Linked DNA regions of Sus scrofa. The protein of the gene in region 1 binds, or shares a complex with, the protein of each later gene. Links are inferred from orthologs where the notes say so. Each region holds a gene or a part of one and is shown in the gene's direction. Other genes may lie near its edges.

Region 1 (7,818 bases):
TTCTTTCTTCCAGAACTTACAATAGCAAGCTGCCTAGGAGTTCCATGGTGGTTCAGCGGGTTAAGGATCCGGCATTATCACTACTGTGGCTCAGGTCCTGCTGTGGTGTGATTTGATCCCTGGCCTGGGAACTTCTATATGCCGTGGGCACAGCCAATACCCCCCACCCCACCAAAAAAAAAAAAAAGAAAAACAAGCAAGATGCCTATAAAAGAGGATTCTAGACAACAATCATTTCAATCTCATGCTCTGTTCACAAGCAAATACTCTAGCTAAGAGAGTAAAATTAAATATCACATCTTAATTCAGTGTAGTTAATAGGAATATACACAAGCCATTAAATTTGATTAATATTATGTGCAAATTGTGAGGGATTTGTGATCACTTGCAAATACTAAAATCAGTTTACTAAATCTTAGGAAAACTCCCTCTAACTCACCAATTCACAGGGTTATCCTTAGGGTCTAAGTAGGTGCTAAATGGATAGGTCATTCATTAAACAAACACTTCTTGTACTCCAGCTACACAGTTAAAAGGCATAGCCACAGTCTGTGGAAAAAACAAACAAAGAGAAAATTTCAATACAGTGTAATAAGAACGCTGAGGAGGGTAACGCAATGGTATCACATAAGCACTCAGTCCAGTGGGGTGAAGAGGGATGTGCAAGACTTCCTGGTAGAGATGATGTCTTAGTTGATGTGTGAAGGGCAGGCAGAGAAAGGGGCTTAAGGGCATCCGAGGCAGAGAGAACAAGTATGCACAGAGGCCAAGGGAACACCCTAGAATATGAAAATCCAAAGTAATTTGTATGCTTAAAAAAAAAAAAAAAAAAAAAGGTTTTCTTCTTTTCTTTATTTTTGACTTTTGCCATTTCTTGGGCCGCTCCTGCAGCATATGGAGGTTCCCAGGCTAGGGGTTGAATCAGAGCCGCAGCTGCCAGCCCACACCACAGCCACAGCAACTCAGGATCCAAGCCTCTTCCGCAACCTACACCACAGCTCACGGCAATGCCAGATCCCCAACCCACTTGGCAAGGCCAGGGATCGAACCTGCAACCTCATGGTTCCTAGTTGGATTTATTAACCACTGCGCCATGACGGGAACTCAAAAAAAAAGATTTTCTTTAGAAGGAAACTCCTAAACTGAGTTTAAAAGCTGTTGAGGGCATCATTTTTTTTTTCTTTTTAGGGCTGCACCTGCAGCATATGGAGGTTCCCAGGCCAGAGGTCAAATCGGAGCTATAGCCTCTAGCCTACACCACAGCCACAGCAACACAGGATCTGAGCCGAATTTTCGACCTACACCCCAACTCATGGCAACCCCGGATCCTTAACCCACTGAGCAAGGCCAGGGATGGAACCCGCATCCTCATGGATCCTAGTTAGATTTGTTAACCGCTGAGCCGCGAAGGAAACTCCAATGGCATCATCTTTATATTCCCAACAGCATCCTGTAGAGAATGTCTATAATAACCAATCAGTATATGTTTTGCTGAATAAATTTAGATATTCAAATTCAAAAAGTGAAATGAACTTTTCTCGAGCACCATGCTATGCTTTTCTTGTACATTCTCATTTTTAACACAGAAATACTATGACACTGGCAAAATTACCCTATTTTACAGATAAAGTTGAAGCTATTCAGTTGATTAACAAATGTCTCAGCCTTGGAGTTCTAGCTGAGACTTATCAGGTTAAGAATCCCACTAGTATCCACGAGGATGCAGGTTTGATCCCTGGCCTTGCTCAGTGGGTTAAGGATCCAGCATTGCCGTGAGCTGTGGTATAGGTTGCAGACAGGGCTTGGATCCTGTGTTGCTATGGTTTTGGTGTAGGCCGGCAGCTATAGCTCCAGTTTGGCTCCTAGTCTAGGAACTTCCATATACCTCAGGTGTGGCCCTAAAAAAGACCACACAAAAAAAGTGAGAATGAGGTAAGTGAAACCTCCTTTAAAGTATGTATAGTTCTGGAGTTCCCCTCATGGTGCAGCGGAAACAAATCCAACTAGGAACCATGAGGTTTCAGGTTCGATCCCTGGCCCCACTCAGTGGGTTGAGGATCCAGCATTGCTGTGATCTGTGGTATAGATTGCAGACTCGGCTCTACATGCCACTGCTGCAGCCCAATAAAGACAAAAGACAAAATAAATAAATAAATAAAATGAGGTATGTACAGTTCCCATCGTGGCGCAGTGGAAATGAATCTATCTGGGAACCATGAGGTTAAGGGTTCCATCCCTGGCCTCACTCAGAGGGTTGAGGATCCGGTGTTGTGGTGAGCTGTGGTACAGGCCGGCAGCTGTAGCTCTGATTAGACCCCTAGCCTGGGAACCTCCATATGCCGCAGGTGCGGCCCTAAAAAGCAAAAAAAAAGTATGTACAAACATAAATGATTATTACATGTTTCTAGGATGTAGCTAGGGACTGTGAAGTATACAAAAGATAAAATTTCCCCTCCTCCCATGAAGCCTGGGACTGAGACAAATGATATTATCAACACAAAACACTGACACATTACATTTCAAATTTTTTGGTACTAAATCAAATACGATTTTTTTTTTTTTTTTTTTTTGTCCTTTTAGGGCGCTCCCACAGCATATGGAAATTCCCAGGCTAGGGGTCTAATCAGAGCTGTGGCTGCCGGCCTACGCCAGGGCCACAGCAATGCCAGATCCGAGCCGCGTCTGCGACCTACACCACAGCTCACCCTAATGCCGGATCCTTAAGCTCCGGATCCAACTGAGCAAGGCCAGGGATCAAACCCACAACCTCTGGTTCCTAGTCGGATTCGTTTCTGCTGCGCCACGACAGGAACTCCCAAATCAAATAGGATCTTGATTCCAACGTAGACAAAGGCAAGAGGAAGCCAAAGTTCCAAGAGAATGCTTAAAAGAAAAAAACAACTGTGATACATTCTAACTTTCCCGCAAGCTGTAAAAAGCTCACCACTATGAAGAAGTATAGTGTAATGGGTAAAAGTGCTTGCTTTGGAGGCAAAGGGCAGAGACTCAAATTCTGTTGCCACTGATTTTGGACAATTAGCTTCGCCTTTCACTAGATCTTAGCTTCTTCCCTTGTATCTGTACTCAGGTGTTGTATGGATTGAATGACGTGATGCAGATAAGTGCCTGTAACGTACGTAACTTGGCATTTAGTAAACGCTCAAATATGTAGCCATTATTATTGTAACTGCCCTTGGAGAGGGTAGGAGGCTCTGTCCAGCTCGGGAAACAACAATAAATTTTGAAAAATCTCCACCCCCGATACGGGAGCAAAAACCTTGTCTTGTCGATCTCTGGTGCCCCAACACCCAGGGCAACACAGGGCTGTGCAGAGCTGCTTGCGCGCAGTTTACCTGACGCCTGACATTCTTCATCTCACTCCGAGTAATATAGACCAAACACAGGCCATGGCTCCTCCGCTGGCTCTTTATTTTACTCTGGCGCTAGAGGGCTCTTCGAGCTTATTCTTTCGCCACTGCCCAAATGCACCGAAAATCCACCCAGCTCAAAAGAAGCTGCCGAGAGAACTTCCCGACAGCGGAGGAAAGCACACTCCTTTCGCGGCTACAGGACCGCACTCCTGGGTCCGGGGCAAAGGTTTCCATGGCAACATGGTCCACCACTCTAGGAGGACTTAAAGCTCTTCGCAGGGCCGGGAGCGGCAGCAGACCCCGGAAGGTGCCGTTTCACTCCCGGAGTTCAGTCCGGAGGCGCGCGACTTGAAGCACCTACCTCTTTTCAGCCCTTTCCCGGAACCTCAGCGCCCACCCCGAATCTTCTGCTATGTCAACTGCACTACACCTCCCAGGTTGCTCTGAGTCTCTCTCCTCGCAGAACCTCGTCCTCCGCGTGCTCTTTTTAGAGGCTGTACGTGTCACAACGCTCAACGCACCCAGAGCCTTTCCTACTACGATTCCCATCATGCTCTACGGCGCCCAGGACGCGGCTTCGGCCCTCGGCCCACTTCCGGTCTGGACGTAATTCCGCTTTGTTAGGCGCGCGGTGGATGGTCTGGAACGTAGGGCTCGCCTCTTGCTGAAGCTTCGCGGCCTCGGAGCCCAGCATGGCTTCCTCGCGAGCCTCCTCCACGGTACGGATCTCGGCTCACTCTGGCAGGGCAGGGAGGGCGGAGGGGTGGGGGGTCCGTGCAGAACAGAGCCGTTAGGGAACGGGCGGTGGAGGACTGAGGAGGAAGGCTGCCAGACTCGGTCTGGTCTTAGAGAGCTGAGCAGCGTTTTTCTTTGAGTGACCGGAGTGTGTTTTAGGTCATTTTCATCTCTTACTACAACAACCCTAAAATGTAAATACCTCTTCCGTCTCGTTCAGAAACGGAGCTCTGAAAGGGAGTAGGGTTTTGGCCAAGATTTACGACAGTGTCAGTCTTGATTATAATGAGGCCTCCTAACTTCATATCTACTACCTCGCGTCTGAAAACGTTTGAATTGTATAGACCGGTAACTTTATAACTTGTTCCCCTTTATCATGGCGTTGGTTATTTCAGTTATTCTTGATATCTCCTGTGATGAGCAGTGGCCCTGAAAGTTTCATAAAACCCAAGAAGAGATTGCACCTCCAACCAAATGAAGTAAACATGTTCCAAAGCAAACCATTGATAGAAAAATCACAAGAGAAATTCACTAGTTTTATCTATCTCTTCCTATCTGCAAAACTTAAAGTGACTGAGAGACTGGAACACTCCCCCCTGCCCCACTCCATCAGGGAAGATACATCTTAATTGGTGTCCAACTTGTCTTTTTTGGGGGAGGGAATAGGATTGAAGCTCTGGATAAGCTTCATCCTCTGGGAAGCTAGCAAATTGCTGAGATTAAGCTTTAGGTTCATCCAGGTCTTTGATTTAACAGGCAACCAAAACTAAGGCACCTGATGACTTAGTCGCTCCTGTTGTGAAGAAACCACACATCTATTATGGAAGTTTGGAAGAAAAGGAGAGGGAACGGCTGGCCAAAGGAGAGTCTGGGATTTTGGGAAAAGAAGGACTTAAAGCAGGAATTGAAGCAGGGAATATTAACATAACCTCTGGTAAGATGCAAACTGTAGTCCATCTCTACTTTGGGTGCTCAAAATTTCTGTAATATTTACTTTCCTAAACGTAGATATCACAAGTATAGTGTCAGAAAACTTCGCATATTAAACTTGCATCTATTGGTGTTCCTATTGTGGCTCCCGGGTTACACGAACCCAACTTGTATCCAAGAGGATGCAGGTTGGATCCCTGACCTCATTCAAATGTGGATTAAAGGATCCACTGTTACTTTGAGCTGTGGTGTAGGTCTCAGACGTGGTTCAGATCCCAAGAGCCTGTGACTGTGTTGTAGGCTGGCAGCTGCAGCTCCAGTTTGACCCCTGGCCTGGGAACTTTCAAATGCCCCAAGTGCGGCCCTAACAAAGCAAAAAAACAAAAAAACAAACAAAAATTTGCATCTTTCGAAGGCCATACTTTCTGCCTACCCATTTAACATTACCCCAGAGCCTTTTTTCTTTTAACTTTTTTTTTTTTGTCTTTTTTGCCATTTCTTGGGCCACTCCCACGGCATATGGGAGGTTCCCAGGCTAGGGGTCTAATCGGAGCCGTAGCCGCCAGCCTATGCCAGAGCCACAGCAACTCGGGATCCAAGCTGCGTCTGCAACCTACACCACAGCTCACAGCAACGCCGGATCATTAACCCACTAAGCAAGGCCAGGGATCGAACCTGCAACCTCATGATTCCTAGTCAGATTCGTTAACCACTGCGCCACGACGGGAACTCCCAGAACCTTTTTTCTTAAAACCTTTTATACAGGTTTTCTTCCCTGAATTGTTAATAATTTTACTGGGAATTTATTCAGTGTGTGTTTGGATTCAGATTGATTCCACTTATCTTATGGATATCTAGGATAGTTCTGGCATTGGTTTGGAACTACCCTGGTTCATAATATTCTAACTTGTTCAGTTTTCCAATTATTTTTCACCCAAAATGAAATATCTCTTTCAATTAAAAGCAATAGCTGTTTTTATTTTGAAAGAGATTAGTTAGAAATGTGTGAGGTAGAAAAGCCTATAATCCTTATTAATTAGGTCTATATTATTCCAAGAATTTAATAAAGCTACAGAAATACAAGATTTTTTTCTATAAATGAAATCATGATAAATTATTTCGTAACCTGCATTTGTCATTCTGTTTACTGTTGAGGATATCTTTTGATGTCAGTAACTAGTGGTCCACTGTTTTTAAAATAAAATTATTCATATTTGTCATAAGAAATTCAAATCGTACTGAAAGGTGTAGAAAGACCTCTGCAGATAGGATTCTGTCATTTCTATTAATACTCCCACACATTTTCTTTTTCTGTACACATGTGCTCTGGTGACTTTTTTAACTTTTTATGTTGTTTTAAACATAACAGCATCACTACTATACTTCTCATTTTTCATCCAAATGCTTGTATCTGGGCTGCTGGATTATCCAAAAAGCCTTATAGTCAGAGTTCCCTCTGTGGCAAAGTGGGTTAAGAATCCAACTGCAGTGCCTCCAGTTGCTGCAGAGGTGCGGGTTCGATCCCTGGCCTGGCACAGTGGGTTAGGGGATCTGGTGTTGCCACAATGGAAACTCCTACTAAGACTAGTTTAGAGAGTAGCTCTAGCAGTTGTTAAAATAGTGTTTCTGTTTTACTGTGGATAGAAAGCCCAGTTAACTTGTTAAAGGGACTCTGTACTCTCATTGTCTCATGTCAATTGTATGTTTATATAAGTGTTAAGGTTGCCAGATGAAACAGTATGGCTTCAACCATTTTCCTGTCTTTTAAATCCTGATTATTTTTCTATGATTGGCATACTTTAATAAACCAAGAATCCATAAACTGTTAAGTGTGAAGTAGATAGGACAATTAACTTTCCTTAGAGATATACTCCAATTGTAAGAAATTCTTTCTCCCTACTTGAAGATCTGGTGATTATGCTGATGCTGCCTGTTCTTTTTATAGGAGAAGTGTTTGAAATTGAAGAGCACATCAGTGAGCGACAGGCCGAAGTGTTAGCTGAATTTGAGAGAAGGAAGCGAGCCCGGCAAATCAATGTTTCTACAGATGACTCAGAGGTCAAGGCTTGCCTTAGAGCCCTGGGGGAACCCATCACGCTTTTTGGAGAGGGTCCTGCTGAAAGAAGAGAAAGGTGCCCTTTCTGAATTTTACTCTTTCCTTTTTTTTTTAAATTTGGTTTTTTATTTAATGTATTAATTTAATTTTAATATAATTGAATATATGTTGGCAAGATATTTAGATAAGTTTACTTTTACTTACTTTTTTTTTTTAACTTATTTTTTAGCCATTCCCACTGCATGTGGAAGTTCTTGGGCCAGGGATTGAATCCGCACCACTGCAGTGTCAATCCAGAACCTTAACCTGCCACACCACAAGAGAACTCCCTGGTCTTTCTGTTTTAATCATGGGGTTCTAGTTCCAAATTTTAGTCAGCTAAAACTACTATTCATATCTAAAACTTTTATAGAATATCTCAGATATTGTTGACAGAATATCTTATTAAGTATTATGTATTAATATGGTTTAGTCCTGAATCTGAGTCTTTTTCTTTTTTGCTTTTTATTAGGGCTGCACCTGTGGCATATGGAGGTTCCCCAGCTAAGGGTTGAATCAGAGCTGCAGCTTCCAGCCTCCGCCACAGCCACAGCAACATGGGATCCAAGCCGTGTCTAACCTATCCACAGCTCCCAGCAATGCTGGATCCCCCCCACCCACTGAGCAAGGCCAGGGATTGTCAGATTCATTTCCACTGCGCCACAACTGGGACGCCGTTAATCTGAG
Region 2 (7,691 bases), on another chromosome or scaffold:
GGCTCAAAGGGCCACATCCTCACACCAGCCTTTTTCAACCACTGATGCCGACTCAGCTGCTTCTTTCCCGTCCCTTTGTCAGTTTTATTACAACAACCTGTTCTGCCTTCTTCACCCTCTCATCACCATACAAATCTACTTGTAAACTTATTTGTCCTACCTACCCTTCCCCATAGAGTAAAAGCATCATGAGAGCAGGAACCTTGCCTGTCATGTTCAATACTGTAACTCCAGGGCCTAGAATGGTGCCCAAAAATCACAGGTGCTCAGTATCTGCTGAAGGAGTTGATGAACTACACCGATGAAGGCACTGACACTGAGATTAAATATGAAGGAACTACAGTTACCCCCCCAAAAAAAAACATAATGTTGAAGAGTATTTTCTTTGTCCCCAGCTGTGGGAAGCATCCAAGTGTCACCTTCATTTGCAGGCACTGAGGTGGTGTTAAAACCCACGCTAGGAGTTCCCGTCGTGGCTCAGTGGTTAACGAATCCGACTAGGAACCATGAGGTTGCGGGTTCGATCCCTGGCCTTGATCATGGGTTAAGGATCCGGTGTTGCCATGAGCTGTGGTGTAGGTCGCAGATGTGGCTCGGATCCCGTGTTGCTGTGGCTCTAGCGTAGCCGGCAGCTACAGCTCTGATTAGACCCCTAGCCTGGGAACCTCCATATGCCGTGGGAGTGGCCCCAGAAAAGGCAAAAAGACAAAAACAAAACCAAAACAAAATAAAAAAAAAACCCACACTATGGTGCTGTCAGAAACTACACTAACGAGGGAGTTCCCGTCGTGGCGCAGTGGTTAACGAATCCGACTAGGAACCATGAGGTTGCGGGTTCGGTCCCTGCACCTTGCTCAGTGGGTTAACGATCCGGCATTGCTGTGAGCTGTGGTGTAGGTTGCAGACGCGGCTCAGTCCCCACGTTGCTGTGGCTCTAGCGTAGGCCGGTGGCTATGGCTCCGATTCGACCCCTAGCCTGGGAACCTCCATATGCCGCAAGGGCGGCCCAAGAAATAGCAAAAAGACAAAAAAAAAAAAAAAAAAAAAAAAACCAAAGAAACTACACTGACGAGTCACCAAATCAGTGTCAGCTGCATCCAAAACCACAACCAAACTGCTCCTCTACACAAACACAGCAAAGATGCTAACTCTTCCCAGAAGCTGCCTCAGAAACTTATGCTAGCTGCACTGGCTCATAATTTTCGTGAGGCTTAAGTAATCCCCTACCTATGTTCAGGCTGAGTTGATATGAGCTGGCCCATCTGATTACCTCACACAGACCATGCCAGGAGATTCACATGCTCTCAGGAAAAACTCACCACCACCCCACAAGTCAAACATGAGGTTCAGAGAGATGAAATTAATTTGCCCAAGCTAATTTATGCAAGCCCATATAACTATTAAGCACTGGCACTATGCCAAGCTGGTGACAAGGTGAAGTGTTTAGATGGGGGAATGCTACTCAGGCAGGTGGCATTTCCAAACCTCTTCAATTAGAAAAAATTTTTGAAATTGCCATGTATTCCAAATACATTCCCTGATTAGAATGACAAGCTCCTTTACCAGCTGTTTACTAAAGTAGTACCTATCCCTAAAGCTGCAGGTTAAACATTCATTTCCCAGCTCTCCTAATTACTCCTTCACCAGCCACAAAGCCTCCTACCATCTTCCATGATACCACTGTCCTGGATAAATTTTTTTGTAAATGTCAACACTACCATACCCTAAGCTCCTCCAAGAAAGCTCTAAGTCCCATGTCTCCCAGTTTGTGTGCAGCACACGTTAGGTACTGACACATTAGGAATGTTTATTTTATGACTAAGTGAATAAAACGGAACTCACAGTATTAATTGTGAGATGAATCACTTTTTAAGTTTATAAATGGTTACTGTTTTACTATTTCCTAATGGACGATGGCCTTATAATATGTACAGAATCACAGAATTATTGAATCTAGTGTCACAGGAGACCTTGCTGGTGACTTAGTTTAACTGTCTACCCAGTTATATCAGGAACCCCAGAAATCCCTTCTACAGCATACATGTATTATGCAATGACAAACTATTTATCAAGCATTTGGTATATGCAGGGAAGGGGAAAAGAACAAGATAAGAAAATTAAGATGTTTTTATAACTTTCAATTCTGGTAAGAGAGAGCAAACAGGAAGCAAATAAATTAACAAGGTCATTACAGATGTGACAGAAGCTGTGATAAGGTGCACCTGAAAAGACCATCTTAGGACATTCAAGGAATACCTGGATTGAGACCAGGAGGAAGAGAAGTCAGCTACAGCAAAGCCATGGAAAAATATTCTAGGCAGAGGCTCAGGTGAGGAATCACATGGTGTGTGTGAGGAGGCCAAGAAGGAAGGTACCTGGCAAAGAAGACTAGGAAGAGACAACAGGAGAGGCAGCAGCAGCCAGATCATACAGGGTCTTGTAGGCCAAGGTGAGGAATCTGGAGGCTGTTATGCCAATGGGAAGACACAGAGAGTCTGAAGTGGGAGCATGGCAAAATCAGATTTTTTTTTTTTAAGGTACTTTGCGCTGCAGCACAGAAAACTCCTCCAGGGGGATGAAAAGAAGTAGGGAGACCCGTAGAGAGGCAACTGCAGTCGTTCAACTGAAAAGTGATGGTGGTTTCGACAGGGTATGTGGCCATGGAAACAGAGAAGTGGAGAGATTTGAGATATGGTTTTGAGGTTAAACTGATAGGATTTGCTTTCTGAAGGACTGGATGTGTGTTGGAGGGAAAAGGAGTTTGTTTTAACAAGTGATGAAGGGGTCAAAGACTGATATGGGGTAAAAGTAAGAAAGGGATAGGTTTAAAGGGGAAATCAAGTGTTTTGCTTTGCGCATGACAAATATAAGCAGCCTACTCGATATGCACGTTGTCAGGTGGGATCCAAATCTGGGACTCTCCACACACCACAGCACTCTAAGTCTTGGTCCCTTCGTCTCGTGGCGACACAACATAATAGCAGTACCTTTCACATATTCAGCCCCCTGCTTCCGCCTGCATCCTGGGGGCGAAAAGGAGCAGAAAGAGGCTACGCAGAGGAACTCGCGGTCGGCTGGGCTCTAGCGGAACGTCTCAGGGCGCATCACCTCTGGCCAGGAGAGCAAAGGCGCAGGGCCGCCGGGGAGCACCTGGGCACGTGCACACCCCCAGCCTCCCTAGGCCTCCGGAACACCGCCCCCAGCGCAGGTGGGAGGGAGGATGCCTCGCTCACACCTCCAGGAAGCCGGCCTCCTGCTACCCCCACCCAAACCTCTTCCACCCTCCCTACCAACCCCAACTCAGCCTGGCTCATACCCGCCTCCTTCTCCTCGCGCCGGGCTTTGCCCTCGCCCTTGGCCTTCTGGCCGCGCAGTTTGCGCCCCCGCGGCGCCCTGCCCGCCGAGCGCTTTGGAGCCATCTCTGCCCGGGCAAGACTCGCCTAGAGCGTGACGCACCGCGTCTCCGCGGGACGCAGCTCGCGCGCGGCCCCGCCCCCAGGCGGTGCAGGGCCTGGTCACGCCCCCTCCGGTAGATTCCCGCCTGCGCCCAGGCTGAAGCTCCGCCCCAGCCTCAAAGGGACCAATGCAAGCTGCAGGAAGCAAGAAGCTGTAAAACCAACCTCTTTCTACTTCCAGTGCATAGAGTCCTCACGTTTCCGGAGACTGGGGTGGGCATAGGGAGCAGCTCTCGTGCCCTCGCGAGAGGACGGAAAGGGCGCAGGGTTTGAAACATGGCGGACGACGTGGACCAGGTGAGTATCTTCTGAAGAGTTCGCTCTGGGGCGGCTTCTCCCTGTCCAGGCCAGGGTGTGCCCAGCTTTGTTTACCAGGGTTGTTTTCCCCAAGCTCAGGGTTGCTTTTCCCAAACTCACGAGAAAGTGGCCTGTCACGCCGCCTCTTTCTGGGTCATCACGGCCTTAACCTGCCTCTTGGTTAACCGCGCCCCCTCCGAATTTTGCCTCAGGCCCTGAGACCTTTGTTGTTCAAAACCCTCCTGAAAATTAGTTATTCCTCACTCTTCTCACTTCCTTTCTCTTGAGTCTCACGTTGATTTGTAGAATGAGAACCATTATCCTTGCCTGCCTCACGGAGCTCTCGGGATTCTGATAGAAAGGCTAATAAAACATTTAGTGGGTTATTGTCATTACTGAGCGCAACAATGATTACAGGGTCTACAAACACTAGTGAGTATCACCTTTGTATAGTTAGAAACCTTTCTAAATACCAGGGACATCGGCATTGACTTGGGAGATACCTGCCCAACTTGGGGCTTATATTCGAGGGAGCACAGATAACAAGTAAACATAAATATGCGAAACATATGGAAACTGTGATGTGGTAGGCAGGAGACAGGGAGCTGGTATTTAGAATAACTGATGGTCCTTCAGGCTTTCTCACCTGCTGTCCCGTCTTCTCCAAATGCTCTTCTTCAGATGTTTTTGTGGATTAGGCCGCAGCTTCAGCTGTTTACTGAAATCTCACCTCATATCAAAGAATAGGTCTCTGGCCACCTGCATAAAATGCACTCTCCCAGTCTGCCTTATTTTTCCTCATAGCATGTTCTTTGTTCATATTGAGTATATGGTTCCTTGTTTAATGTCTGTCTCCCCCAGCTAGAATGTGAGTCCCTTGAGAGCAAGAGTCTTGTTTTGTTCACTATTCTGGGTTTAGAACAGTGCTGGAAACACTCAACAAATATTCATTGAGTGAATTAATTGGATGGTCTGGGAGGCCTTTTGAAAAGGCAGTACTTAAAGCTACAGGATAAAAAGGATGGACAGTGGGAGGTAGGTCTCTGTCATGTATATATTCTTACAGTATTATGATTACTTACTTATATGCCTTTCTCCACTAGAATGAACTCCTTGAGGGTAGGGACTGACTCCTGTATCACTGATCTAGTAACTGGCTAGCTGGTCTTTAACAAACATCTGTTGATCTGGAGATGGAAGCAGTTGAGGTCAGGATTTCCTTTCTCTTTTTTGCATCTAGCCCTTTAAGGCTATAGAGACTGTAACATTCAGTCACCTTCCTCCAATGACCCTATGTAATCCCCGAAGCAGCTCTCCTTAAATAATCTTATCAACTCACCCTTCCCTTCAACCATCCCTTCCACATGGACCCCAGTCATCCTAGCCATCTTCATGAAGGGAAGATTGTGGCTTCCTCATTTTGTAAACAAGGAAACAGAATTAGAGATGGTTTTTAAACCCAGTTCATGAATGTCAAAGTCAGGGGTTGAACCCACACTGCCTGACTCCAAAGCCAGTGCTTTCAACCAGTATTTTTCTATACTGCCTGCTAAATATAATCATCTTACTGGCCAGATGGCACCCTAAACTCAGCCTCTCCTGCACTGCACTCATAATCTTTCCTCAAACATTCATCTCCACTTAGTATGTGGTAGTCATTGTGTATGTTCTTCCAATTGCTAAATGATAACATGAAAGAAAGATGAAGACCCTGAGACAGTAACTCCCTATACCCTGAAATGGGGTCAGACAGTTTGGATTTTGAGAGAAGAGAGTGCAGTCATGATTATTTTGTTGTACAGCTCCTTTCTGTGTAGGTATGTTTCAGCCCTCATTTATCCAGCACTTAATATACGCTAGGCACTGTTCTAAGCCTTCATATATGTATTTTAAGCCTCACAACAGTAGTATTAGGTAGGCATTCCTGTTACACACATTTTAAAAATTAGTAGACTGAGGCATAGAGGGGTTAACTAACTTGCTCACAGTCACACAGGGCACTGCTGGTTCAGAAACTTCACTCTCTAGAACTGTATTACTAAGCCTGTTTCTTTTATCAGCAACAAACTACCAACACTGTAGAAGAGCCCCTGGATCTCATCAGACTCAGCCTGGATGAGCGAATCTATGTGAAAATGAGAAATGACAGAGAGCTTCGAGGCAGGTTACATGTGAGTAAATTTATTAAATCACCTTGAAATTAGATTATTTCCTCAATGTTGCTCCCTAACCCCACCCCTTGGAAATGTAAAAACTGTCCACTGTGAAAGAGTGTTTTGAATAGATGAGGAGGTGGAAAGTCACCTGTATTTCTAAACACCAAATGAACTGTACTTTATTCATATGTTTAACACATTTTTCTCTTAATGGAAATATGTCTACTAGAGAACATTTTCATTTCTTTCATTTTTTCCTTTCTGTTTATTTGTAAATAAGATTTATTTGTCCTCCATTCTTATTTAAATGTTCTTTAAATTACTGACATGCATATAAATTTGCGTTTTCTTGTGAAAAATTTTACACAGGAATACGTAGAGTAAAAGGTGAAATCCTATTTCTTCTATTGGGTCTATAGTCTTTCAGATCTTTTCTGTATATTTACACAGAACAGATATACATGAATATGTGTCTATATGTATATATTTACACTGTATACACCCTCTCTAAAAAATGAATGGGATCATGCTATACTTTTGAGTTCTGAATGTCTGAGTTGCAGTACTTGTTGATCGAGCCCACATGTGCCAAACAGCTAGTTCTGGCGAGGCTGCAGTGTTGCTTACTTTCCTTTGCAGTGTTTAGGGCAGGGAGGGTTGAATGACAGTGTCTTGTGCCTTTAGGAGATTTCGGTGCCATCATCTCAGCAGTTAAACAGAGAATTTTATTTCCTTTGTGGTATATTTCTTGTCACTCTGTTATAGGTGGAATTGAAAGAAATGTACTGAAAAGTGATGAACTAACTTTTTTCAAAATGAAATTCCATGACATATTTATGTGACTGCCTTAGATAACAAATAGGGTGGACACTTTAAAAGTAACTTCAAGATATTTTGAGTGAATTCATTTTTGACCATAAACAGTTTTATATTTGCATCAAATCAGTTATCATTGGAAATGATCTTCAAAGAAACATTGTATTGTAGCACAGCAGGATTATATGCATTATAAGTTTGTGCTTTAAGTACTATGTGTTACTCGTAATTGAGCCATTTGTGTATTGTAGGCCCTGTTCATTATCTCCTAATTTGCTTATTAAATTTTTGGTCCCTTGCCGTCCCACTTCAGGCGTATGATCAGCACTTAAATATGATATTGGGAGATGTGGAAGAAACTGTGACAACTATAGAAATTGATGAAGAAACATATGAAGAGATATATAAAGTAAGTCATGCACTTCTATTCATGGCTTTTTAAATGTCAATTGTTCTCAGAAGCCAAAAGCTTAACACCCGTTAAGCTGTTGTGTTTTGATGCCTATTCATGGACTCAGTATAGTCATTAAGAGCAAAGGTTTTGGGGTCCAACAGATCTGGTTTCCTGTGCTGGCTCAGTCACTTTCTATTTGGGGTACATTGGGCGGGGGGGTGGGTACCTTTGCAGACTTCACTTCCTCATTGGTAAGCAGGAGTACTATGGTTTCTCTCATGGGGTTGCCAGGATTTGGTGAGATGTGCTGTGTAAGACACCTTTCCTAGTACATAATGGTAGTACTGGACAGTGTGGTTTTGTTTGATGTGGATTTGACCTATCAATACTTAACTAAAAACTAAAACTGAGAAATTTAAAAAATATTAATGAACTCCTTAAAAATATTGTTGACATAAGTAACATTTTTATGAATGATAACTTTTTTAAAATAAAATATTTAGGGAGAAGTGTTTTTGTTTTACATTTGCAAATCTCTTTAATGCTTGGCTTAATAGTTGACATCTGGGGAGT
Region 3 (7,842 bases), on another chromosome or scaffold:
TGGGGACAGACCTACAGCCACCCCAAAACATGGCCTTCTCAAGCTGGGGGCTGCAGGGGGTGGGGGCCTCTAACTTGACAGGGCTCCTGAGGGGCTGTAGCCCTGACCACAGCCTGAAGGATACAGACTAGCTCTCAGGCCAGGGAGCTTGTCCCCGTAGGATGCAGGCCCGGGTCCCACCGCTGCCCAGGTGGCCCCCACATGCGTCTGCTCCATGATTTGGTTTGGCCCCTGGAGAGAGACGTCGACCATGCCCGTCAGAAGCACTGCTCACTCCAGATGTGCTGGGGAGGAAATCCGGTCAGCTGCCTGGGCCCTGTGGCTGTTCATGTGACTCCCTTCCTGTCGTCCCCTTCCTGTCCAACCTCATTCCCTCGACCTGAGGCAGAACTAGGATCTCCCTCTTCCAGGTTCTCCCCACCAGACTGCCCCCTTGTTCTGTGCCTGGACCTGTGCCCCTTCTAATGGCTCATACCCGCTCAGAGCCCCGCCCCCACCCCAGGCCACTTCAGGGAGTCTGTGACCCCTCAAACCCAGGGGGAATCCAGCCCACCTTCTATATTCATCAATAAAGTTTTATTGGAACACAGCAGCCTAGTTCCGGCATGCAGGGCTTACAGATGCTCTCAGCTGCAATTGCAGAGCTGCAGAGTTCTAACAGAGGCCAGGTGGCCCGAAAGCTGAAAATGCTGTCTGACCCTTTGGAAAACATCTGCTGCCCCCTGACCTAGGGGACCTGAGTTGCTGGTGAAAACTGTCCTTTATATACAATGGGAATGGATAGAAAAAAAATGTTTAAGGTCTTTTAAAAGCACAAGAGCAGGAGTTCCCACTGTAGCACAATAGGATTGGGATCAGCAGCGTCTCTGGAGCGCTGGGATGCAGATTCAATTCCCAGCCTGGCACAGTGGGTTAAGGATCCAGCAGTTGCAGTGTAGGTCACAGCTGTGGCTCGGATCTGATTCCCTGGGCCAGGAACTCCATACGCTGCACACAGGGTGACCAAAAAATAAAAAAAATAAAAGCACAAGCACACACTTCCCAGATTCCTCCCCCAATGTGCACAACTGGCTTTCCGTTAAGAAATAAACCTGGGCTTGAATCAAATACCAGAAACCACATTGTCAATGTGAATTTGGTCTCCTCCCCAAAGTTAAGCGCTGGGAGAAGTTCTTCAAAAGGGCACCGGGATGTGAGTACCCTGCCTTCCAGTGTGGCCCATCCCAGTTTGGAAAACCAAGAACAGCTGGGACTATGGAAGACAGGCCACTTCCCAACACATCACAATCATAAAGTGAGTTCAGGAGCCTCTAGGGAAATTATGCTTCATGATGATGGTGAAAGCATCCACGTCAGAGGGCTTTGGGAGAAGCTCAAGGGTCCAGGTTGGGCGCAGCCTTCCTAAGACTTGGTGGGTTCTAGGAGGGGAAAATTAGGTCCTGGGATGCTTAGAGAAAGATGTTCAGGTGAAGGAAAGTGGGAGAGGGTTAAGGGGCAAGTGGAAAGGGTTAGGGGGAAGGGGCAGGCGGAGGCGGGCAGTGGAGGGGAGAAGGGGCAGGTTAGGGGGAAAGTGTATGGGTAAAGGGCCAGGTGGAGTGGGGCAATGGCAGGGGCAGAGACAGCACCAATGTTGGGTCAGATCTGCTTAGTAACAGGCCCCACATAGGCCTTTATGTACATGCCTTATAGTAACTGGGGAGTGTGTGTTTGTCTAGTTGAGGAGGTGCAACCCCTCGCCCAGGGTCACAGAATGGTAGGGAGTGGGTTTAGGGCTGTGAGCAAGCAGCCTCCTGTCAGTGGAAAGCTGGTCTTCCTCTTGAGCGCCATGAAGAACCAGGCCCAGGGAGGGTTCTGTTCCGGAAAGCAATGGCCCAAGAGCTCCTCCCTCTCTCCAACACTCTTCTTGGCTCCCCACACTCAGGATGAAGTTCAGTCAGCTGAGAATAAAGTCCAAACACCTCATCACGTGGGCCTCCAGCATGCAGCTCTGACCTGTCCAGCCCACTCCCTGGACCCCAGCCTGGGAGGGCCACAGGCTCCATCTGCCCTTTACCCTCGGCCTGGAGCCACTCCCCTGACGTTCCCTCCCTGGCCTCCCTGCCAGTGCACCTGAGCCTCCACTGGGATGACACCATTCTCAGGTGGAACCACTGTACTGAAAATACACCAGTTAGAGCGGAGCCACAGCTTCCCCAAATAAAGCTCTCACGCTTCTGCCTGGCCCTGCTCACATCACCTGCAACACCCTCCATCTGCTCTCCTGACCTAGCAAACTCCTACTCGTCCTTCAGAACACCCTGCAGGCACCGCTGCTCCTGAAAAGCATTCCCAGGCCAATTGCATCCCTCATTCTGTGGTGTTTCCATGACCCTCCCCCTGCTTCTAGCTTTGCACTCCTTTGGAATACCCAGACAGCTCAAGGTCCCTGCCTCGAGTTGCTGAGACAGCTGAGGAAAATGAGTGAACAGGGCTCAGGGAAGTACAGGGGGCTGGCAAAGCAGCTAGGGGGGCGTCCCAGAGAGCCTGAGAGGGAGGGGCAATGAAGCTGAGGCTAAGTGTATGACCAGGCAATTCATACACAACCCTACATACAGAACCCTCCCTGGGCCTGGTTCTTCATGGCGCTCAAGAGGAAGACCAGCTCTCCACTGACAGGAGGCTGCTTGCTCACAGCCCTAAACCCACTCCCTACCATTCTGTGACCCTGGGCGAAAGAGAGAAGTGCAGGGAGCCTTCAATACACTAGAGCTGGAAAGGGGAAGCTTCCTGACAGCCAGATCACAGGGGCTTCACGAATGCACCAGGAAGCTGCCAGAAGGCTCTCCTCTGGGCACAAGACATGACACACTTTGAGAAAGATCGCTCCTGCAGTGTTGAGAATGAACCGGGGGTGCAGAGAACAAAAGTGGCCACAGAGGAAAGCCATCTGCCTGGAGCAGAGGTGGAGGGGCTGGAGCAGGCTAATGACCCAGTTTTGGGAGCTGTTGGGGGCCACCACTGCCTAAGCTGTGGAACCTGAGAGAGGGGGAGGATTTGGTAATAAAAGATGCACTTATGACAATGTATATCAGCCACCTCGTGGTAGTTCCCCCCACTAGCACCTGGAGACCCTTAACGTTAAATGACAGAGAAGTAGCATGCTGCGCGTTCATGATCCCATATATCATCTCGCTGACTCTATACTGTACACTTATCTTCCTTTTGCAGACAAGGAACTGATACTCAAAGCGGGGAACTCCCTTGCCAAGGTCATGCGAGCAAAAGATGCGGCGGCGATTCGACCCCACTTCGGGGCTGGGCTCCCGGCTGCGTCCCAACACCGCCAGACCCTGGGTGCCGCGCTGGACAGTTTACCACAACCACGGTCGAGGCAGATAGCGTCGCACTCAAGGAGAAACTGAGGCTCGGAGAGGGGTAGCTCCCAGACCAAAGTCACGAAGCTAGAGGGGCGTCTCTGGCGGCGGTTGGAGACCCCGGGGTGGACAAGCGGGGCTCGGGGCAGGAGAGGGGGAACCCCCCCTTAAGACTCCGGCGGGGCCTGGTGACGCTGCGGCTGGGAAGGGCTTCCAGGCAGGGAAGGCAGACGCGCCGGGGACAGTCCGGCAAGGTCACTGCCGGCCCCGAGCCCGCGGGCCGACCGCGTAGGGGGCACGGACACCCTAGGTTGACCCCCAGGCCAGGCCGAGCGGACCCCTATGCGGGGTCGGGGGGCCAAGGAGTAATGGCACCGCGGATGGCGAGGCCGCCAGGGTCGGCGCCGCCCTCACCTGGGCTGCGAGGAGAACGAAGGCCGCCGCGAGCCGAGCCAGCGATGCCACCGCCGCCATGTCGCCCGGTCCCCGCCGCAGGCGTCGGCAGATGTTTCCCAGCAACGCCTTGGCGCCCCGCGCTGCGCAGGCGCCAGGCGTCCGCCGCGCATGTGCAGGGGGCAGAGGCCAAAGGGCGCGGCGCGGCGGCGGCGGCAAGATGGCGGTGAGCGTGCGGCGCGGCTGGCTTGGCTGGAGGGGCTGGCGGGGCAGAATCTGGCCGCGCTTCCCCCCTCACGCAATGTGCTTTCCTCGCAGGACAAAGAGAAGAAAAAGAAGGAAAGCATCTTGGACCTGTCCAAGTACATCGACAAGACTATTCGGGTGAAGTTCCAGGGAGGCCGCGAAGGTGAGGCCCCGCCCCCTGCCTCCCCCCCCCACTCTCCCCCTCTTAAGGTCCACACGGGGTAACGGGCAGCGGTACTGATGACGAATACCTGGGCGGCGCTTTAATCGTTTAGTTCGGAGAACTCGTGCCGGCTTGCAAAAGGCGCCGGGAGGTAGGAACGATTACGGCCCTGTTGCAGGTGGGGAAACTGAGGCACGGGAAAAGGCCCCAAACTAACCCAAAACCCAGTGGCTGGGATTCACTGCTCTGCCTGCTGTGGTTCTTTCTCACCCAGGTGGCTGCCCCAGCTCCTCACCGTGCTCCTGCACCAGGGTTTCTCAGGCTCGGCACTGCTGACATTGGGGCAGCAGTGTTCTCTGTGGAGGTTTGTCCTGGGCGTTGTAGAGTGTGAAACAGCATCTCTGATTCCCACCCACTTGATGCCAGGAGCCCCCCATTCGTGACGACCACAGACCTCCCAGACATGGCCCACTGTCCCTTGGGGGACAGAACTGACCCGGTTGAGAACCATGGCCCTATGGTCAATTTTTATGAAGCCACCAGAGGGATCTGTTATAAAGAAATCCCATCTCCTTGTTCACGGTTGTTCCAGGGTAAAGGAGGAACCTTTTGCTCCAGAGTAATGCTGGGAGTTCTCAACCGCCACAGGGCTGTAAAGATACTTGTTTTCTCTGTCTTGAGCACCTTTACCAGGTTAACTGGCTACCAAGTTAACTTGGTCATTTCCCCACTGGCAGCTCAATACCATTGCTCTGGGAAGCTTTCCCTGACTCCCCAGCCCAGGTCAGGCCTCTTTGTTATGAGCTTCTACTAGTACCTGTCACACAGTTTGCAGCTTTCTGCTGTTATTGTGAGGCTTTAACTCTGCGTCTCCTACTGGAATCTGGTAAGGAGACTGCAGGGTCATGCGGGCAGTGCCGTCCATGGCAGAGCCCTCTTGTCCACTCAGCTGCTGTGGAACTTTGGGCAAGGCACTATCTTTTCTGAGCCTCAGTCTCTTCCTTTGTCAGAGGCTATTATTGACTCCGCCCACCTCAGCAGTGGGGATTAAAGAGTTCAAGGCAGGTAAAGTGTTAACAGGGTTCCCGATGGAGGTTCCCAGGCTAGGTGTCTAATCGGAGCTGTAGCCGCCGCTTATGCCAGAACCACAGCAACTCGGGATCCGAGCCGTGTCTGCGACCTACACCACAGCTCACGGCAACACCAGATCCTTAACCCACTGAGCAAGGCCAGGGATCAAACCTGCAACCTCATGGTTCCTAGTCAGATTTGCTAACCACTCAGCCACGATAGGAAGTCCCTGACAGATAATTCAAGGTCAACATTTCACTTATTCAGCTTCCTCTGATCTTCAGTTTCTTAAACAGTGCTCCAGATCCCTCCTTCCCTGAGCTGTGGACAGTTGAGTAGCATCAGAATGGCTAAAAGCACAGTCAGTGCCTGCCAGTCGAGGTACCTGGCACAGTGAGGATTTGAACATGCTAGTACCATCCTAGCTCTGAAACATAGGAGATAGGTCTCGTCTCGGGGTGCTTATGTTTGCAACGCTGCGGAGCAAACGGCCACCAGTTAGCTGCTTAAACAACACACGTTTTTATCTCAACAGTGTGCGTGGTTTCTATACTCTGGGTGCCTCAGGTCGCTGACAAGGTGGCCATAAAAGAGTGTCTCTGGGAGCTTGTCATCTGAGACCCAGTTCCTCCTGCCTGCCCACTGGTTGTTGGACTCAGGTCCCCGTATTCTGGCTAAAGTGGGCCAGAGACCCTTTTGGCTCTTGGAGGCTGCCTGCTGCCCTTGCCATGGGCTCTGTCCATCGCCTAGCAGTTTGCTTCTTCAAAGCCAGCAGGAAAATCTCTTTTGTCCAGAAAGTGCCCATTCCTTTAGTAGCTCACCTTTCAGGTTGGGCCTACCCAGCATAGCCTCCCTTTAGGTTCACTGAAAGTCAGCCGACTCTTGAACCTTAATTACAGCTGCGAAGCCTTCTGTCTCTGTCACATGACCACAGAGTGATGTCCCATCGTTGCTCCTGTTCCACACTGAGGGGAGGGGGTTCCCAGGCGTGTTCTCGGGGTGAGGGAATGCCGGTTCTGTCTCAGAATCCTGCCCGCCTGCCACAGTGCACCCGTCCCCTTGAGGGGGGCAGACCCACAGGTGTGGGCTCCCGGCCCCCAGGCCAAGTGCCCGAATGCATTGTCCACTCTCCATAACCCCATGAAGTAGGTTCTATCACAGTCTTTGTTCCGTAGGGGAGGGTCAAGCAGGAAAAGGACGCAATGACAGGGCTTCAAACTCAGGTGGGGCCGACAGACATTTTCTATAGAAGACCGGACATGGAATATTTTCAGCTCTGCAGGCCAGACTGTCTCTTTTGAAACCACTCAACTGCCATTGCAGCAGGAAAGCAGCCACAGGCGACATTTAGCAAATGAACATGGCTGTGAGCCAGTTAAACTGTTTACAAAACAGGCACAAGGTTTCGCTGACTGTTCTGGTGGGGGTGGTTTGGGGTCAGCTGACACTGCTCCCCTTCTGGGAGCCCTTCCCTCGCTTTCTCCTTGGTCCCCTGTCTCCAGAGCAGCTGCTCCCACATCTGCATCTGGTTGCAGGGTGACCCCTTGCCGGTGGGGCACCCCCATCCTGCCGACACCTGGATGCAGTTCAAACCTGCCCCAGGATGACCACTGATCTTCCATCTCTCTGTCTCTCTTCTTTTCTCGGTGATTCTGACAAGCCAGTGGAATCCTGAAAGGGTTTGACCCACTCCTCAACCTCGTGCTGGATGGCACCATCGAATACATGAGAGGTGAGTGCAGCTGGCGGGGCTCCAAGCGTCCTTGCCAGGCTTTCCTTACTGTTCCAAAGTCACTCAGCTGCCACCCAAGTGCTAACCATGAATGTTGTGCCTTGTGGATCAGACGGCTGACAGATGTGTTTGATCTCTCACGGTCCTGGCGAGGCCCAGTAGCCCATCATCTTGAGCCTTCAGAGGTGCGGAGTATTTGCTGATCCGCTCATCACTGACCCTGAGCACCAGTGGGTTTGGAGTGTGCCTGGTCTGGCCAGAAAGATGCCACGGCCCCATGAGAGACCCAGCTGCCCTGGGGTTCCTTCAGACCCATTACCTCCTGCTGTCCCTGTGCAGTAACTCCCTGCTGCTGACAGAGGGTCCCCCCATTCTCTGCCCCCAGTCCCTTTCTCCCCAAGTCCCCAGACTCTCCCCACCTGTGGTCAGGCCAGTCCCTGCCCCTCAGCCAGCAACTTCTGCAGCTCCTGACAGAGGCGTGAAGGGGACGTCAGGGCCGAGAAGAAAAGCAGTGTCTTGCTCCTCCAGGGACTGTGGACGTTGAGACCCGAGTTACTCTGGTGAAGAGTGATTGCAGCCACACAGCAGGGTCACAAGGCCACCAGGGAGAGAGGCCCTCCTTGTGGGAGAAGCGATTCTGTGGGGCCTCCTGCCTTGCCCTCATTTTCTTTCCCACTGGGTCTGCCCAGAGTCCCCCACTGGGATCCTGGCCTGGCTTCCTTGGGCGAATGACTTTCTGGAAAAGGATGCCCTCTGTGTTGGGAACCTAGTGAACTAGGGCATGCCCTACAGTATGCCTGTTGTTCCTGCCTCAGAGCCTGCTCCCACTGGGGCCCTGGCTGCTTGTCAGCAGAGTATGTGCCCCTTCCTCACCCCAGAACAGC

Evidence for each region. Proteins that work in one complex are often made in the same cells at the same time.
Region 2: PRPF4 (region 1) and LSM3 share a complex: the UniProt entries of both Homo sapiens proteins name them as parts of the precatalytic spliceosome. The link is inferred for Sus scrofa from reciprocal best matches to the Homo sapiens genes PRPF4 and LSM3.
Region 3: PRPF4 (region 1) and LSM7 share a complex: the UniProt entries of both Homo sapiens proteins name them as parts of the precatalytic spliceosome. The link is inferred for Sus scrofa from reciprocal best matches to the Homo sapiens genes PRPF4 and LSM7.

What each region holds. Positions count from the first base shown.
Region 1 is NC_010443.5:253,902,732-253,910,549, forward strand, and holds the start of PRPF4 (U4/U6 small nuclear ribonucleoprotein Prp4), read left to right. Parts: upstream 1-3,526; 5' UTR 3,527-3,732; coding exon of another isoform or gene 3,733-3,923; 5' UTR 3,924-4,063; coding exon 4,064-4,090; intron 4,091-4,862; coding exon 4,863-5,040; intron 5,041-6,981; coding exon 6,982-7,168; intron 7,169-7,818. Other genes in the region: anaphase-promoting complex subunit CDC26, read right to left, coding at 3,733-3,923. UniProt on the Homo sapiens protein: Plays a role in pre-mRNA splicing as component of the U4/U6-U5 tri-snRNP complex that is involved in spliceosome assembly, and as component of the precatalytic spliceosome (spliceosome B complex).
Region 2 is NC_010455.5:70,344,664-70,352,354, reverse strand, and holds the start of LSM3 (U6 snRNA-associated Sm-like protein LSm3), read left to right. Parts: upstream 1-3,674; 5' UTR 3,675-3,731; coding exon 3,732-3,752; intron 3,753-5,812; coding exon 5,813-5,923; intron 5,924-7,037; coding exon 7,038-7,133; intron 7,134-7,691. Other genes in the region: XPC (DNA repair protein complementing XP-C cells), read right to left, coding at 2,880-3,023, 3,317-3,419. UniProt on the Homo sapiens protein: Plays a role in pre-mRNA splicing as component of the U4/U6-U5 tri-snRNP complex that is involved in spliceosome assembly, and as component of the precatalytic spliceosome (spliceosome B complex).
Region 3 is NC_010444.4:76,243,200-76,251,041, forward strand, and holds the start of LSM7 (U6 snRNA-associated Sm-like protein LSm7), read left to right. Parts: upstream 1-3,825; coding exon 3,826-3,972; intron 3,973-4,064; coding exon 4,065-4,155; intron 4,156-6,886; coding exon 6,887-6,958; intron 6,959-7,842. Other genes in the region: SPPL2B (signal peptide peptidase-like 2B), read right to left, coding at 3,768-3,827. UniProt on the Homo sapiens protein: Plays a role in pre-mRNA splicing as component of the U4/U6-U5 tri-snRNP complex that is involved in spliceosome assembly, and as component of the precatalytic spliceosome (spliceosome B complex).